2 linked regions of the Astyanax mexicanus genome follow. The protein of the gene in region 1 purifies or fractionates together with the protein of each later gene. This does not show direct contact. Links are inferred from orthologs where the notes say so. Each region holds a gene or a part of one and is shown in the gene's direction. Other genes may lie near its edges.

Region 1 (6,993 bases):
CTAATCACGTTGTTTTTCCAGATCCGCCAGGACCAATTGACAACTCTAAGATCGCTGTGAATAAGAACGGGCACATCACCCTCAAGCAAGGTAATGTTCTTTATCAGAATTTACTTTGTCATTATTATAAAATAATAATAGCATTCGATATTACCACCATTGTAGTTCTCATTCCTAATCAGATTATGCTATGTGTCTAAATGGTTCTATACTGAGTCCTGACTAATCAAAGCACTGTTAGGCTGCTTTAAATGGTCTTTGCCTGGTTACACTGTTCTTCACTATGATACAAAGCATCTTATAGAACCTATTTAAGAATTTATGTCTTCCTTGTATAAAGGAGTTCTTTAAAGGTTTCATCACAAAAAATTAATCAGTATTTAATCAGTTCTTTGGCTAGTTGAAAAGCCTCTTGAAGGTGATATTATGTAGAACCTTGTTTGCATAAAGTTGAAAATCCTCCCACTTGCCTTTTACTTAGTTTATAACCCCGAGCTCAACCTTTTAAACCCTTTAAAACTGATTGTTCTAAAGGTCATGCTGGGAGACCAGTTTCGTTTAAACTTGTTGTTGATACTAAGCTGATTAGTGGTTCTGGACCAGTTCTGTCTTGACAGTCGAGCAGCATGGTAATTTTGATTATGCTGTTAGACCAGCTAAACCATCATACACAAATTAAAACATTGCATATGTTAGTAAAGAGTTAAGATGTTCACAACCAAACTTAATCAGCGTGATCAGCTTCAGCTGCCACGGCATTTATTTCAGCAACAGTAGAGTTTAATGAGCTAATAATTTAAAGGGACCAGATTTGCTTCTTCTTTTCACTCTAAACGTTGGTTTATTTCTCCTCCGCTGCCCCCAACAGGTGCAGATTCAGGCCAGATATCTGAGGAGACCTGGAACTTCCTCCACTCCATCCACGGAGGCGGACCAGTGGTGACAGTGCGGCCCAGCGTCAGCCACCAGGAGGTGGACAGCTCCCAGGCCGAGGAGAAGATCGAAATGGAGACACGCAGTGTGTAGCAGCTTCAACCTGCTGCCCTTTTAACAGGGGACTGGAAAACAATCTGTTATTTTGCACTTGACTCTTTCTTTTCATCTCTAAAGCATTTGAGCAAAAGATCTGACCATGCCTTGTCTCCTCCCTCCTTCACACACACACCTCCTTCACACACACACCTCCACCACAGTCTCCATTCCATATGTGAACCATTCCCTGCTGCAGAGAAGTGGAATATGTCTCAGAATAGGCTTCGTATTTGTATATACAGCACTGTCTGTCCACATTCTATTGGCACTGGTGACTAGGTTAGGCTTTAGAGGAATGGATTGGTGAAAAATCACATTTGCACATGTTCACACTTACCTTAGGTAAGGTAGTTGATCGACCAAGGCAGCTGAGGTTCACAGACTTTGCTTCTTTAGTTTAGCGCTGGAGTTATGAGGCTAACGAACACTGGAAGTCACTAGTCATCCAAATCATCATTACTGATTGCTTTTGTTTTTTAATATTGTATCCATATGTTGGTGAATTGCTTATTGTTGGCACTGATGCAGTGTGCTCAAGCTTAACCCTTATAAAATAAAATTAAATTAAATTAAATAAAATGGTTAGAGCTAGAGCTTGAAAGCTATTGTTGATACAAACAGTGAATGTTAATAGTTATCCAATTAGTTATTACTGCAGATACAGCCTGCACATGTCTGAACTCACTTAAACCATATTAATGTCATCCTTAAAATGGCACAGGCTTGTTAATGTGGTTCAGGATACAGTATGACATACTGTAAATGATAAACATATTAATAACTAGCACGTAGCTAAAGCTAGGAGAAATTCTACATGCCCCACAACCTCACACAATCCCACAGATTATGTTTGCTATTTGTATTACTATTTATATACATGTAAAGTATTTTAAAAAGTTTAAAATGGAATTCAAAAGTAATGGTTCTTTTAAAAAAAGGAACAACAGAAATCACAAACGTTCAGTTTCACAGTGAGGTTTTGTTCATATTTATAGTTCACTTTTTGTCTTATTTCACCCTAAACAACAACACAGACATGTCTACTCAGCAGTTTGCAGTTTGAGTGATTTTTGGATGACTTGGCTTTTAGTGTAAGCTAAAGAAGCAAAACTGCTAAATGTCTTGGTTGATCCACATCAACCATCATTCCACAAAGTGGAAAATGTAAAATTTTACACCAAACCGTTTCTTTAAAGGAGCGACAAGTGAAACTTTCCTCAGACACGTATAGAAAATGTGTGTAAGCTAGAATATCGCTGGAAATATGCATTCCTTTCCTACTTTTTCAATGAAAAGCACTAATCTTTCCTCTGTACAAAAAAAAAGACCCACGGGTTCAGCCAGTAGGCTAGCGAAAATATCGCTTATCGCTCCTTTGAGGTAGATCCTTGAAAAGGCGCCTTTTGGGAGCAAAACAAATGTACCGTTTTTTGTGACCAAATAGAGAATAATCTGTGAGTTGCTTAGCTGAACTTGGTGAAGAATTAAAATGCGTAGTACTGTACTCGTTGTCCGGTTTTAAAAGGAAAATGTCCGTCCTAGGGAGCGGACGTTTCACTGCTCCGCCTGAGATTGTGAAGGGATCCGAAGCGCTAAATAGTCTCAGGAAAGGACTGTGTAATTTTTTTTTTCTGTTTTGCACTGTTTCCGTAGGCCTCCAGCTCTGCATGCTCCAATACTGATGTCCGATTTCTATCTGAATGTACTCGTACTTAATGAACACAGAGTTTCTTGCATTCTATGTTATTTATTCCAGAAGGGGTAACGTGATTTACTATAATGTTTATACTTTTTTTTTTCTTTTTCTTTTTTTTCTTTTTTTATTCAGCGAGCCAAACCTGATATGAAATGCATGCTGGAACGAAAGATATGATCTGTAGGCTGAAACTCCACTTGACTTGCATGTAGATGCAGAGCTGCTCTAGAAGAACAAGGCACACATTTAATTGTATGTATAAAATAAAGAAAAATAGACATGAATCTACTACAACTGATTAAAGATTGAGGCATTAATTTATGTATATAATGGCATGATTTATTTTTTCTTTTTATTATTTTTTTGATGCTCATTGACTGGAATAGAGGACTGACATATCTGTCATTTATGAAAGCTGTATGGGAAGAATGAGTCCTACGTCTGTCACTTTTTGTTTTGGTTGGCCGAAACAAATTAAACCCAAAATTATTCAGTGAACGTGGATTTGTGGTTTCACTTATTTAATTTTTTTCAATTAAATATTCACAATTCTAGTCTGTTTAACTGATCGAATAATGCTACACTTTTAAAAGGCATTTAGGTAATTTTTTCCCATTTAAAACAAGTATCTCTGGTAGTAGATATCTCTGAGTATATGTGGTAGATTTTTAGATTACTACCTAATTTGAACACAAAGTGTCCTTTACACTGTGTCAAAATTTCTTAATAAATGGACCAATAGAAATTATCAAAAATTACTTGAAAATTCTTTTCACATTGACTTCCATTGAAGGTTAAGAAGATGTAGTAACTCCTGTAAAGTTATTGTCCTACATTAAATTAAATTTCTACAATCCATTTCTACAAGTAAATCTTACAGCACTTCATGCTTCCCTCTACTGACAACTTTTATGAAGATGTGGATTTCATTTTCCAGCAGGACTTGGAACACCACCCAGACTTTTCTGAGACACTGATCTTTGGGTTTTTATTTGGCTGTAAGCCACAATCATTAACAATAAAATAAATAAACCAATAAAATAGATCACTCTATATGTAATACGTCTATATAATATATGTGTTTCACATTTTGAACTGAATTACTTAAATAAGTAAGTAACTTTTTAATAATATTTACATTTTTGGGAACATCTAAAACCATCTAACTACTGTATCTACAAAGACAATCTGGGTTTTTGTGGGATGGATGTACCATTCTCTCTGTCTTTCCCCCACACACACACACGCTTTCTCTCCCTCCCTCTCTCTCCCCCACACACACTCATACACACACTTCAGTTCAGTGGAGAAAAACATGGCAGCTGCCGACTGTGCAGCAGACGCTTTGCGGAAGTGAGGTAAGTAGCTAGCTACAATTCTCCTGCTTGAGAAACCGATTTGTTTTCCAAATAATTCGCTTTCAAAAGTGTTCCCAAGCTTTTCGTGTGCGTCTTTTAAAAGCTTACATTCTATAAAATAAGTGAGCATAGTATGAAAAGCAGAATGATGGTTTGAACAGGAGAGGAGAGAAAGTTAAAACCATCGAATCGGGCGCTTTAGCTTAGCTGAAGTTGGAATTTAGTAGTTCCACCTTAAATGGTGCAGCAGTTCGATTGAGGCACCCGTGCGCTGTAATATTAACTGCTGCACCATTTAAGGTGGAACGGCGCTATTCCAACTTTAGCTAAGCTAAGCGACGGTAAGGCTATGTACAACACGTAGGCCCTTATGTTTAAAAAAACAAACCTAAATACACACATTTATATCAACGTATTCATATAATTTAACACTAATTAAACTATACTTTATAACAAACACCTCTTTTAAACGTTAGTAGGCTATATAAATTATGTAGCTAACGTTATCTAAAAAATACAGTTAGCTTAGCTAACTAGCTATGTTAGCTAATTTAGCAACCCGTGTAACCGCTTGCTTTGCGGTGTTATGCTATCTTAGCTAGCTTTAGCTAACGCTAACTAACACCAAAGTAAGTTAGTGGCTTTTCTTCTGTTTTTATTTTATTTATTATTTTATTATTATTTAACATTAACTTGGCTCAGTTTTCCCTTGCACCATTGAAACCGTCCCCCAAAATGTTCGGGCACGTAAGTCAAATTTGTGCTTAGCGAGTTAGCTAGAAAACCTTCCAAGCCCTGGTGTTCTGTCGAGTTATGCTACCTATCGATACGTGCTTCTTTACGGCACTGCGCATGCGTTAAACAAAATTTTTTTTTATAATGTTTTCATGTCAATTCCTTAAGTTTTTATTAGTAGCATTAAACAACATGATTGAATGATTGTAAAAAACAATAATAATAACCTGTAAATAGCAGTTAGAAAATAGCAATGGAAAGGTTAAGAATAAATAATTAACTAGAAAACTATGAAAAATGATTTGAACTAAAAGTTTTAACTTTACCTGATGAAGTGATTGATCTGCATATCATACCTAGGCTTCTGCTGGGAGTATTTTCTAATATGTTTTCTGATATGGTGTTTTACCTTTTTAAACATGAAATACTACTAGGGTAGCACTGTGTGACAAGGTAGCACAACTCGACAGAACACCAGGTCTTTAATTCAAGCTAGCGTGCTAGCACGGTTGCCCGGCTACCTACCAAGGAGCGGCTCAGAGACCCGCGGCCCACGGATAGCGCCGCTCTGTCGGCTTGAGGGGTTGTGTGTGAGCCGCTGTAGCTAGCTGATGTTAGCTAGTTAGAGGAGCGGATAACTAAAAGGGGCACGTTTCTTGGGCTAGGTTCGTTAGTTATCTAGTTATCTATCAAACTACATGATAAAGCGTTTTTTAATCTGTTTGTCTAATACCAAATCTTAAATCTTTTCGCTAAATCACGAATTCGAGTTCTCCTGGTAGCAACCACGAGTACACCAAAGTATAAGCTCCGGAGCCGGCGAGCGGTTACCACGCAAACCCGCGGCTCCAGTACAGCGCAGGCCAGGCCAGGAGGCGGCGGGGAAAAAGTGCCAACAGTGCGGCTGATTTAACGTTACATTAATCGTAAACAGTGTTGAAAAAGGTGAGTTGGGATGTGTATCAGTTCAGTTTTGGGACTCTTTAGGGCTAAATTGAGGCTAATTTCGATCATATAAGATGCACAATATTGTGTAAAACTTAATTTATATTTTGTACATTTATTATAGGGACCCCCTGAGAAACTAATCTCGTTTGGATAGGGCTTATTTTGGATACTTACACCTGTTTAATTTTATCGTACTTCTCTTTCACATTTCTTCTTTAATTTTTGTTTAAGTATTTAATATATTTTAGTAACGTTATCTGTTTGTTTCAAAGAGTGATGTGTAAACACAGCACAGCACTGACTGACCAGAGAGAATAGTCACTGCACAACGCAGTGCAGACATATAACTCAAGCTACTGTTGCAGTTATGTTTGTTTTTTATCTGACGCACAATGTGCGCTTGCAAAATTATGCTATCATATGATTAAATAATCTAGAGAGCTGTGATGACACCTGCTAAATTTTGTTACACTGGTTGTTCTCCTGTTTGTGTGTTAGAGCAGTTTTTCGCCTCCAAAACAGAACCACCTTGAACTAGGGCTATAAATGAAAGTGACTTGATTAGGAATACAAGCAGAATGCTTACGTAAGTTCTTCAGACCCACAGTCCAATCAATTTAAAAATGCACATTGAAATTGGACATAAAACTAGCAATAAAAATTGATTATCATCAGGTCTTATTTTAAAATGGGGAATGTAGTTACTCTTTCTGCACCCTTTTTTTTCAAACTAGATTTTAATATAATCAATGCTATAAAAATATGGCTAGGTTAGGCACAACTATGCTAATTGGAACTGGCGGCCTTGTCATTCCTTTTAAATGATGTTGGGGAGGGGGTGAAAGTATAGCATTGTAAATGTCTTGATGCATTAAAACAATTTTGCATGTTAATGAAACCCTACCTCTTGATCTCATGTACTTGTCATCCAATAGTGGTTCAGCTCATTAAAAAACAACGATTAAAAAAAAAACATGACCAAAAATAATTACGTTACCTTACATCAGTGCTGATAAGTGACTAACGACCCATATACTGATTTGAATCTGCTGTAGGCTGAATATATGTAAAGGTGTTGCTGTTTGGTGGTGTCAGACTTATTTTTGCAACTTAACTTAGAGGAAGGTATTTTATGTATACCGTATGTATACCACAAGTCAAAAGTTTTAGAACACCTCCAGTGTTCTCTGTAGTCCACTGGCAGCAGTCTTTCTTATTTTGCCA
Region 2 (7,632 bases), on another chromosome or scaffold:
AGTATTTTAGCATATGTTTTACCATGAAATTTTAGCACATACAGCTGTATTTTACCATGAATTCAGTCTCGTAGGTCCAAAATTAACTGTTCAGTATTTTTTATTTTTGTATGTTTAATCATGAAATTCAATTGATATAGATTGTTAGTCAGTACTGGGTCAACTCCTCAGTGCCTGGTGCAGGTGGATGGTTGTTTCCGGTTGAGAGTATGCTGTGAGTGATTGGCTGATGCTTCTGACCTGTGTGTCTCACCCTTTTTTGGGGTCTAGTGCTTGGAGGGACTTCAGGGACTGTGAGTTATCTTCAGAGACGAGGGATAGCCCCTTCAGGACCAGCCAAAGAAGACAACCTGAGGAAGACTTCCCACCCAGGAAAGGAAAAATACATGGTGCTGGATCAACTCCTGAGCTCCTGATGCTGGTGGATGATCATTTCCTGTTGAGAGTATGCTGTGCACGATTATTCACCACAGCTGCCAGTATTTTACCGTATATATTTAACAGTCAAATTCTATAAACCACAGCTGCCAATATTTTACTGTATATTTAATGATAAAGGACAACTAATATGGATTTAATGTCTGAAAGAAGCTCCCAGTAATTTACCATATATTTAATGATAAAGATTTATTCACCACAGCTGCCAGTATTTTACAGTATATTGTGTGTCTCAACTTTTTTCTTCTTTTTTCATATTTTTTTTATTGTTCAGGATGACCAATATGGGTCTAGTGCCTGGATGGACTGTGGGTTCTCTTCAAGGATGAGGGATAGCCCCTTCATAACCAGCCAAAGAAGACAACCTGAGGAAGTCATCTCACCCAGAAAAGGAATAATTCATGATGCTGAATCAACTCCTGAGCTCCTGATGCAGGTGGATGGTCATTTCCTGTTGAGAGTATGCTGTGTGCCATTATTAACCACAGCTGCCAGTATTTTACCGTAAATATTTAAAGATGACATTCTATGTACCACAGATAACAGTATTTTACCGCATATATTTAACAATGCAATTCAATCAACCACATATGGCAGTATTTTTCTAAATATTTCATCATGAAATTCGATGGATATAGATTGTTAGTCGGTGCTGGGTCAACTCCTCAGTGCCGAATGCAGGTGGACGGTTGTTTCCGAGAGAGTATGCTGTGAGTGATTGGCTGATAATTCTGACCTGTTTGTCTCACCTTTTTTCTTCTTTTTTCTTCTTTATTTTTCAGGACAACCAATATGGGTCTAGTGCCTGGAGGGACTTCAGGGACTGCAGGTTCTCTTCAGAGATGAGAGAACCCTTCAGGACCATCCAAAGAAGACAACCTGAGGAAGTCATCTCACCCAGAAAAGGAATAATTCATGATGCTGAATCAACTCCAGAGCTCCTGATGCAGGTGGATGATCATTTCAGAATTTACAGAATATTTAAAGATAAAATTTTATCTACCACTATAGCTGCAGGTATTTTATCGTAAATGTAAAGAGGAAATTCTATTCACCACAGCTCCCAGTGTTTTACCGTTTATTTAACGATGAAAGTATATACACTACAGCTGTCAGTGTTTGTATTGGATTATTGAATACATCTGAGATGATCATAGCAGAATATGTTTCTACTGTGTCATTCTATCACTTTTAAATAAACTGTAATTTAATTGCACTGATAGATATGAAGTTATCCTATCAATCTTTTTTCAGGCTCCTATACCGTGTCAGGCCGACCCATATGGGTTCTGTGCCCAGGTGGACTATGGGTACTGGGGGTCCTATCCACTGAGGGGGTGTACCCCTTGTGGGGTCAGCCATAGAAGTCCTCCTATACAGTGTCAGGAAGACCAATATGGGTTCAATGCCCAGGTGGACTATGGGGACTGGGGGTTGTATCCACTGAGGAGGTGTACTCCCTTCTGGACCAGCCAAAGAAGACGACCTGAGGAGAGACAACCCGAGGAAAACACCTGGCACTAGGAGAACGTCTCAGTGTCTGATGCAGTGGACAATTGTTTCTTTATTATTATATTATATTATATTATATATGTCTAATTTATAAATATCTATTGTACTTACATCTCTTGTGTGTGTGTGTGTGTGTGTATGTGTGTGTGTGTGAGTGCTGAGTGTAAATGTTAAAAATGGATTATTATATTATATTATATTATATTATATTATATTATATTATAGTGGCGTAAAAAAGTATCCCCCCCACACACACAGATTTCTTTTGTTTTTGCTTTTTTCTCATACTTAGATTTTTCCAATTATCAAATATACTTTAATATCAGACAAAGCTAACCTGATTGAATATAAGAAAACACTTTTTAAATAATAATTGTATTTATTAAAGAAAAAACTATCCAAACCAGTCTAGCCCTATGTAAAAGTGTTTGCCCCTAAATCTAATAACTTGGTTGTGTCACCTTTGGCAGCAACAACTGGATTCAAGCTTTACCAATAACTGACAACAAGGCTTTTACATCTCTGTGGAGGAATTTTGTTTTACTCTTCTTTACAGAATTGTTTTAATTCAGACACACTGGAGGATTTTCCAGCAAAAACATCCTGTTTAAGATCATCCACAGCATCTCAATCAGACTTTAACTAGGACACTCCCAAACCTTCAATTTACATTACATTTGGCAGACGCTTTTTTAATTTGTTTAAGTTTTTAAGTTTTGGGTCATTGTCCTGCTGCAGAACCCAAGTACGCCTGAGCTTGAGGTCACAAACAGATTCAGGATTGTCTGGTAAACAGCAGAATTCCTGGTTCCACTAATTACAGCAAGTTGTTCAGGCCCTGAAGCAGCAAAGCAGCCCCAGACCATCACACTACCACCACCATGTTTTACATTCAGTATAATGTTCTTTTTCTAAAATTATGTGTTATGTCTTTATTATTATTGAATCATTAACACTGACCTTAACTGAGGCGAGTGAGACCTGCAGTTATTTAAATGTTGTTCTGGGTTCTTTGTGACCTCCTGGATGAGTTGTCCAAGTCCTTTTGGTATAATTTCGGTTGACCAGCCACTCCTGGGAAGGTTCACCAGTGTTCCATGTTTTCAAATTAAATATGTACGGGGCAACTTTTTCACGTCACTGTATATATATATTGTATTTGCATCTTGTGTGTATTATATTATCATATACTATATTATATTATATCTTATATTATGATATATTATATCATATTATCATCTCTTATATTATCATATATTATATTGTATTATATTATATTATGCCATTATATTAGATCATATTATGACATGATATATATCATTATATCATGTCAGATATATTATATTATGTTATATTATATTATATTATTTTATATTATATTATATTATTTTATATTATATTATATTATATTATATTATATTATATTATATTATTTTATTTTATATTATATTATATTATGTTATATTATATTATATTATTTTATATTATATTATGTTATATTATATTATATTATATTATTTTATTTTATATTATATTATATTATGTTATATTATATTATATTATTTTATATTATATTATGTTATATTATATTATAGTATTTTATATTATATTATATTATATTATGTTATATTATATTATATTATTTTATATTATATTATATTATGTTATATTATATTATATTATTTTATATTATATTATATTATATTATATTATATTATATTATGTTATGTTATATTATATTATATTATTTTATATTATTTTATATTATATTATATTATATTATGTTATATTATATTATATTATTTTATATTATATTATATTATATTATATTACATTATGTTATATTATATTATATTATATTATTTTATATTATATTATATTATGTTATATTATATTATATTATATTATTTTATATTATATTATTTTATATTATATTATATTATATTATATTATTTTATATTATATTATAATACCGGTATTATTTTTGGTATTTTGTACAATTTTTTAAATATGTACAAAAACAAATAATACTGTTTAATAAAATAATATATTACAACTTACATTCAGTGTTTTTTCATTATTTTTAAATATTCTGCTTTGTAGACTAATACTAAATACTATGGAGCGCAGCAACAGGAACACCCAGTCAGCGTAGATCTCACACCAACACCAAGGCAGACAGACAGGTGGAAAGATTAATAATTGGTCAGGTAGAAAGTTGGAAAAACAGATAGGCAGAAAGACAGAGAGATGGAAAGTATGAAAGTTGGAAAGACAGGCAGTTGAAAAGACAGACAGGCAAAAAATAAACATCTGGAAAGATAGACAGGTGAAAAAACAGACAGGCAGAAAGACAGATAATTTTAAAGGTAGACAGTTGGAAAGACAGACAGACAGGCAGAAAAATAAACAAGTGGAAAAAGATAAACTGTTGAAAAACAGAAATGCTAAATGGTAAAAGAGACAGTGTAAGAATTATCCATTATACAATCGATGTCAGACCAGATGTAGTCTTATACTGTACTGATAAACTATTATCTTACAAAGCGTAGGTGTAAAATAAGCTAATATTACATTATTAATTTTGTTAATATGTGTATGATTATTGTTGTTTACCTCCTGCACTGTATATAACATGGCTCAGTAGCAGTAGCTACCAGGCGCCGCAAGGGGCGCTGCGCTCCACCTCATCTTTACCTCAGGATGGCTGTTTTCTCCTTAGCCAAGTAGCTAACTAACTAACAAACTAGCTGCGCTGATAACCGCTGTATGAGCATCTGGTGCGGGACAGCGAGGCTTAAATTAAATTGTTATAAATGGTGTAAATCGCCACTGGTTTGTGAGTTTGTGGAGTTTGAGTTAGTAGTAACTGCTGGGGAAATGCTGAAGCAGCTCAGCCCGGCTAGCTTAGCTTAGCCTGTTAGCTAACTAGCTTAGCTTAAAAACAACAGGCTTGAAAACAAGCTAGCGGCTTTAATTAAATAATAACGACAGAAAACGTTAAATAAATCATCCTGTACACGATTTACTGCAGACATGGACCGCCTGACATCTTTTGGAAGTGAGTATATCTTAAAATAAAGTCAATATTCTGTAGTTAGCGTTAGCTAGCCCCTATCAGTTAACAGGTGTAACAGTAACGTTAAGCCAAACAGTAAATTAACGTTAACCAGAGGAACCTCTGGATAAGATGATTAGCCAAATAATAATAATAATAATAATAATAGGGTTAATATGGAGATTTAGTGTAATTAGCTGCTGTTTGGTAAATATTGGATCATTGTATTGCAGAAAACTATTTCAGCACTGCTCTCAAACTTTATAAACGTCTTATCTTCAGTCATAGACTTACAATCAAGTTTGATTAATCACAGTTAATTTATGGGGGGCAAACACTTTTTCATAAGGAGCTAGATTGGTTTGGACAGTTTTTTTCTTAATAATTTAAAAAGTATTTTATGTCTATGCAGATTAGATTTGTTATAATATTTGTCTGATATTAACGTTAAATCTTAAATAAATATTAAATCTTATATATATATTAAATTAATCTGTGATGTTGGTGTAACTTTAATCATCCTTAATTCCAGATGACCCTTTTGACAAGCCTCCTTGTCGGGGATGTTCTTCGTACTTGGTGGAGCCTTACATAAAGTGTGCTGAGTGTGGACCATCCCCTTTCCTTCTCTGTCTCCAGGTGAGTATCTGAAGTGATGTCCTGTGACTAAACTTAAGATAGAATGGGCGTAAAAAATGTTTGTTTAGAGTTACTTGGTTTTCAAATAGCTACAATTATTCAAAATGTGTCAGCACTGTGGTTATTAATTGACAGTAAAATTGTCAAGCTTTTGCTGTACAAATATATAATCAGAATAATGTTTCTTTTCTGTTTCAGTGTTTTACTCGGGGCTATGAGTATAAGAAGCATCAAAGTGATCACAAATTTGAAATCATGGTAAAACAATCATAATTTATTAATTTTTTAACAACTGCACAAGTTTGTTTGCTGGAATAAAACGATATTTTTAGTTTTTTTTTTAAACTATAGTTTACATACAGTTTTACTTATGTACAATTTTAATTTTTTTTTTCTTAACAAAATACAATTTAAGCAGTAGTTGACAACACTGAGAATACTGAGAATGTTCAATAACATTCAAATAAAAATAAAAATAAATAAAAAATAAAATAAAAAATACACTGCTTTAATACAGGATACTGTTTTGGTCTCAATGTGGAGTTTTAGTACAACATTTTAGTACTAAATCATAATAATTACTAGATTGTGTACATGTGTATTTAACTTAAAAAAAAAACTTATCATAAAGTGTATAATTGCTCAGTGTGGTATCTTATCTTCTCTCTCTTAGACGTCGGATTTTCCTATACTGGAGCCCAGCTGGACGGCGCAGGAGGAGATGGCTCTCCTAGAGGCTGTCATGGACTGCGGCTTTGGAAATTGGTCAGTACAGTTAAAAAGCTTTGGTGTGTTTAATATGTTTTATAATTAATTATATATTAGGGCTGCAAAATATATTGTTGAAGCATTGTAATGCAATCTCAAATGCAATATCACTTATTTGACCTCAGTATTAAAAACCAAGAGAGTGGATTATTAATAACATTAAACATTAAATGTCTGACTTCTGGTTAAATCTGGTGAAAATCTCAGTATTAAAAAAATAATAATACTGCAATATATTTTGCATATTTACACACTTTTTCTAATATTGTTCAGTCCTATCACATACAGTACCTGTCAAAAGTTTGGCACACTTCTTTTTGTTTAATGTGTTTTCTCTCTCTTTTTTTTTTTTTACAATGTAATTTTAATATTGAAGACTATATTAAAGCTATACAGGAACACATGAATTGTTTTGTAAACAAAAAAGTTGTTTAGTTTTAATGATAATCTATTGATTAATCAGTTTTGTCTTTCACTAACATAATGTTTCAGGCAGGATGTGGCCTATCAGATGCGCACCAAAACCAAGGAGGAATGTGAAAACCACTACATGAAGAACTTCATCAACAACCCTCTCTTCTCCTCCACACTGCTCAGTCTCCGGCAGATGGAGGAGGCTCGAACAGCGGACAGTGCCATCCCATTCAAACGTAAGAGATTGCCTACAGTGTTTTCTTCTGAAGGGTTTTTTTTATCAGTAGTGTAATGATATTGGCTCCTTACACTGTCTTTTATTGGGCTGGGCGATACATAGAAATTTTAAGAAATATCAATAATCATTACATTACCTTACAAATTGTAATAGTTTGTTGGTTTCTGGATCCTTCTTACCGTTTTGCAAACTGTGTGCTTTCATTTGCTTCTCCCATAGTTAATTTGACGATCAGTCCACATTAACTGCAAATGACCTTGATCCTGGAACAAGAAACTAAGAGCAGAATGTGTGAATTTTGTCAAAGTGCCTTTAAAGCATTAGGCTGGCTTAAGTTAAATAAGTTATTTGTTTATAATGTAACCAACCTTTTACCCATCTCTTTCTTATCAGCCACTGACGATCCTCCTCGGCCCTCGTTTGACTCTCAGCTGTCCAGAGATATGGCGGGGTACATGCCTGCTCGAGCAGACTTCATGGAGGTCAGTGTACAGTGTTTTCAATTTGCAGTGTGGTCTAAAATATGTAACATAGTAGCACCTCTTGTTTAGATGACAGTTTTGCC

What was found.
Region 2: the proteins of zzz3 (region 1) and tada2a purify together in Homo sapiens (affinity purification with mass spectrometry; 4 studies listed by BioGRID and IntAct, with this or other methods). This does not show direct contact. The link is inferred for Astyanax mexicanus from reciprocal best matches to the Homo sapiens genes ZZZ3 and TADA2A.

The regions. Positions count from the first base shown.
Region 1 is NC_064415.1:55,925,862-55,932,854, forward strand, and holds the start of zzz3 (ZZ-type zinc finger-containing protein 3), read left to right. Parts: upstream 1-3,981; 5' UTR 3,982-4,086; intron 4,087-5,450; exon of another isoform or gene 5,451-5,766; intron 5,767-6,993. Other genes in the region: usp33 (ubiquitin carboxyl-terminal hydrolase 33), read left to right, coding at 22-90, 869-1,026.
Region 2 is NC_064425.1:13,103,778-13,111,409, forward strand, and holds the start of tada2a (transcriptional adapter 2-alpha), read left to right. Parts: upstream 1-4,606; 5' UTR 4,607-4,986; coding exon 4,987-5,011; intron 5,012-5,540; coding exon 5,541-5,647; intron 5,648-5,845; coding exon 5,846-5,905; intron 5,906-6,320; coding exon 6,321-6,412; intron 6,413-6,907; coding exon 6,908-7,065; intron 7,066-7,460; coding exon 7,461-7,549; intron 7,550-7,632. Other genes in the region: uncharacterized protein LOC103024639, read left to right, coding at 230-445, 713-874, 1,221-1,388, 1,693-1,962. UniProt on the Homo sapiens protein: Component of the ATAC complex, a complex with histone acetyltransferase activity on histones H3 and H4. Required for the function of some acidic activation domains, which activate transcription from a distant site. Binds double-stranded DNA.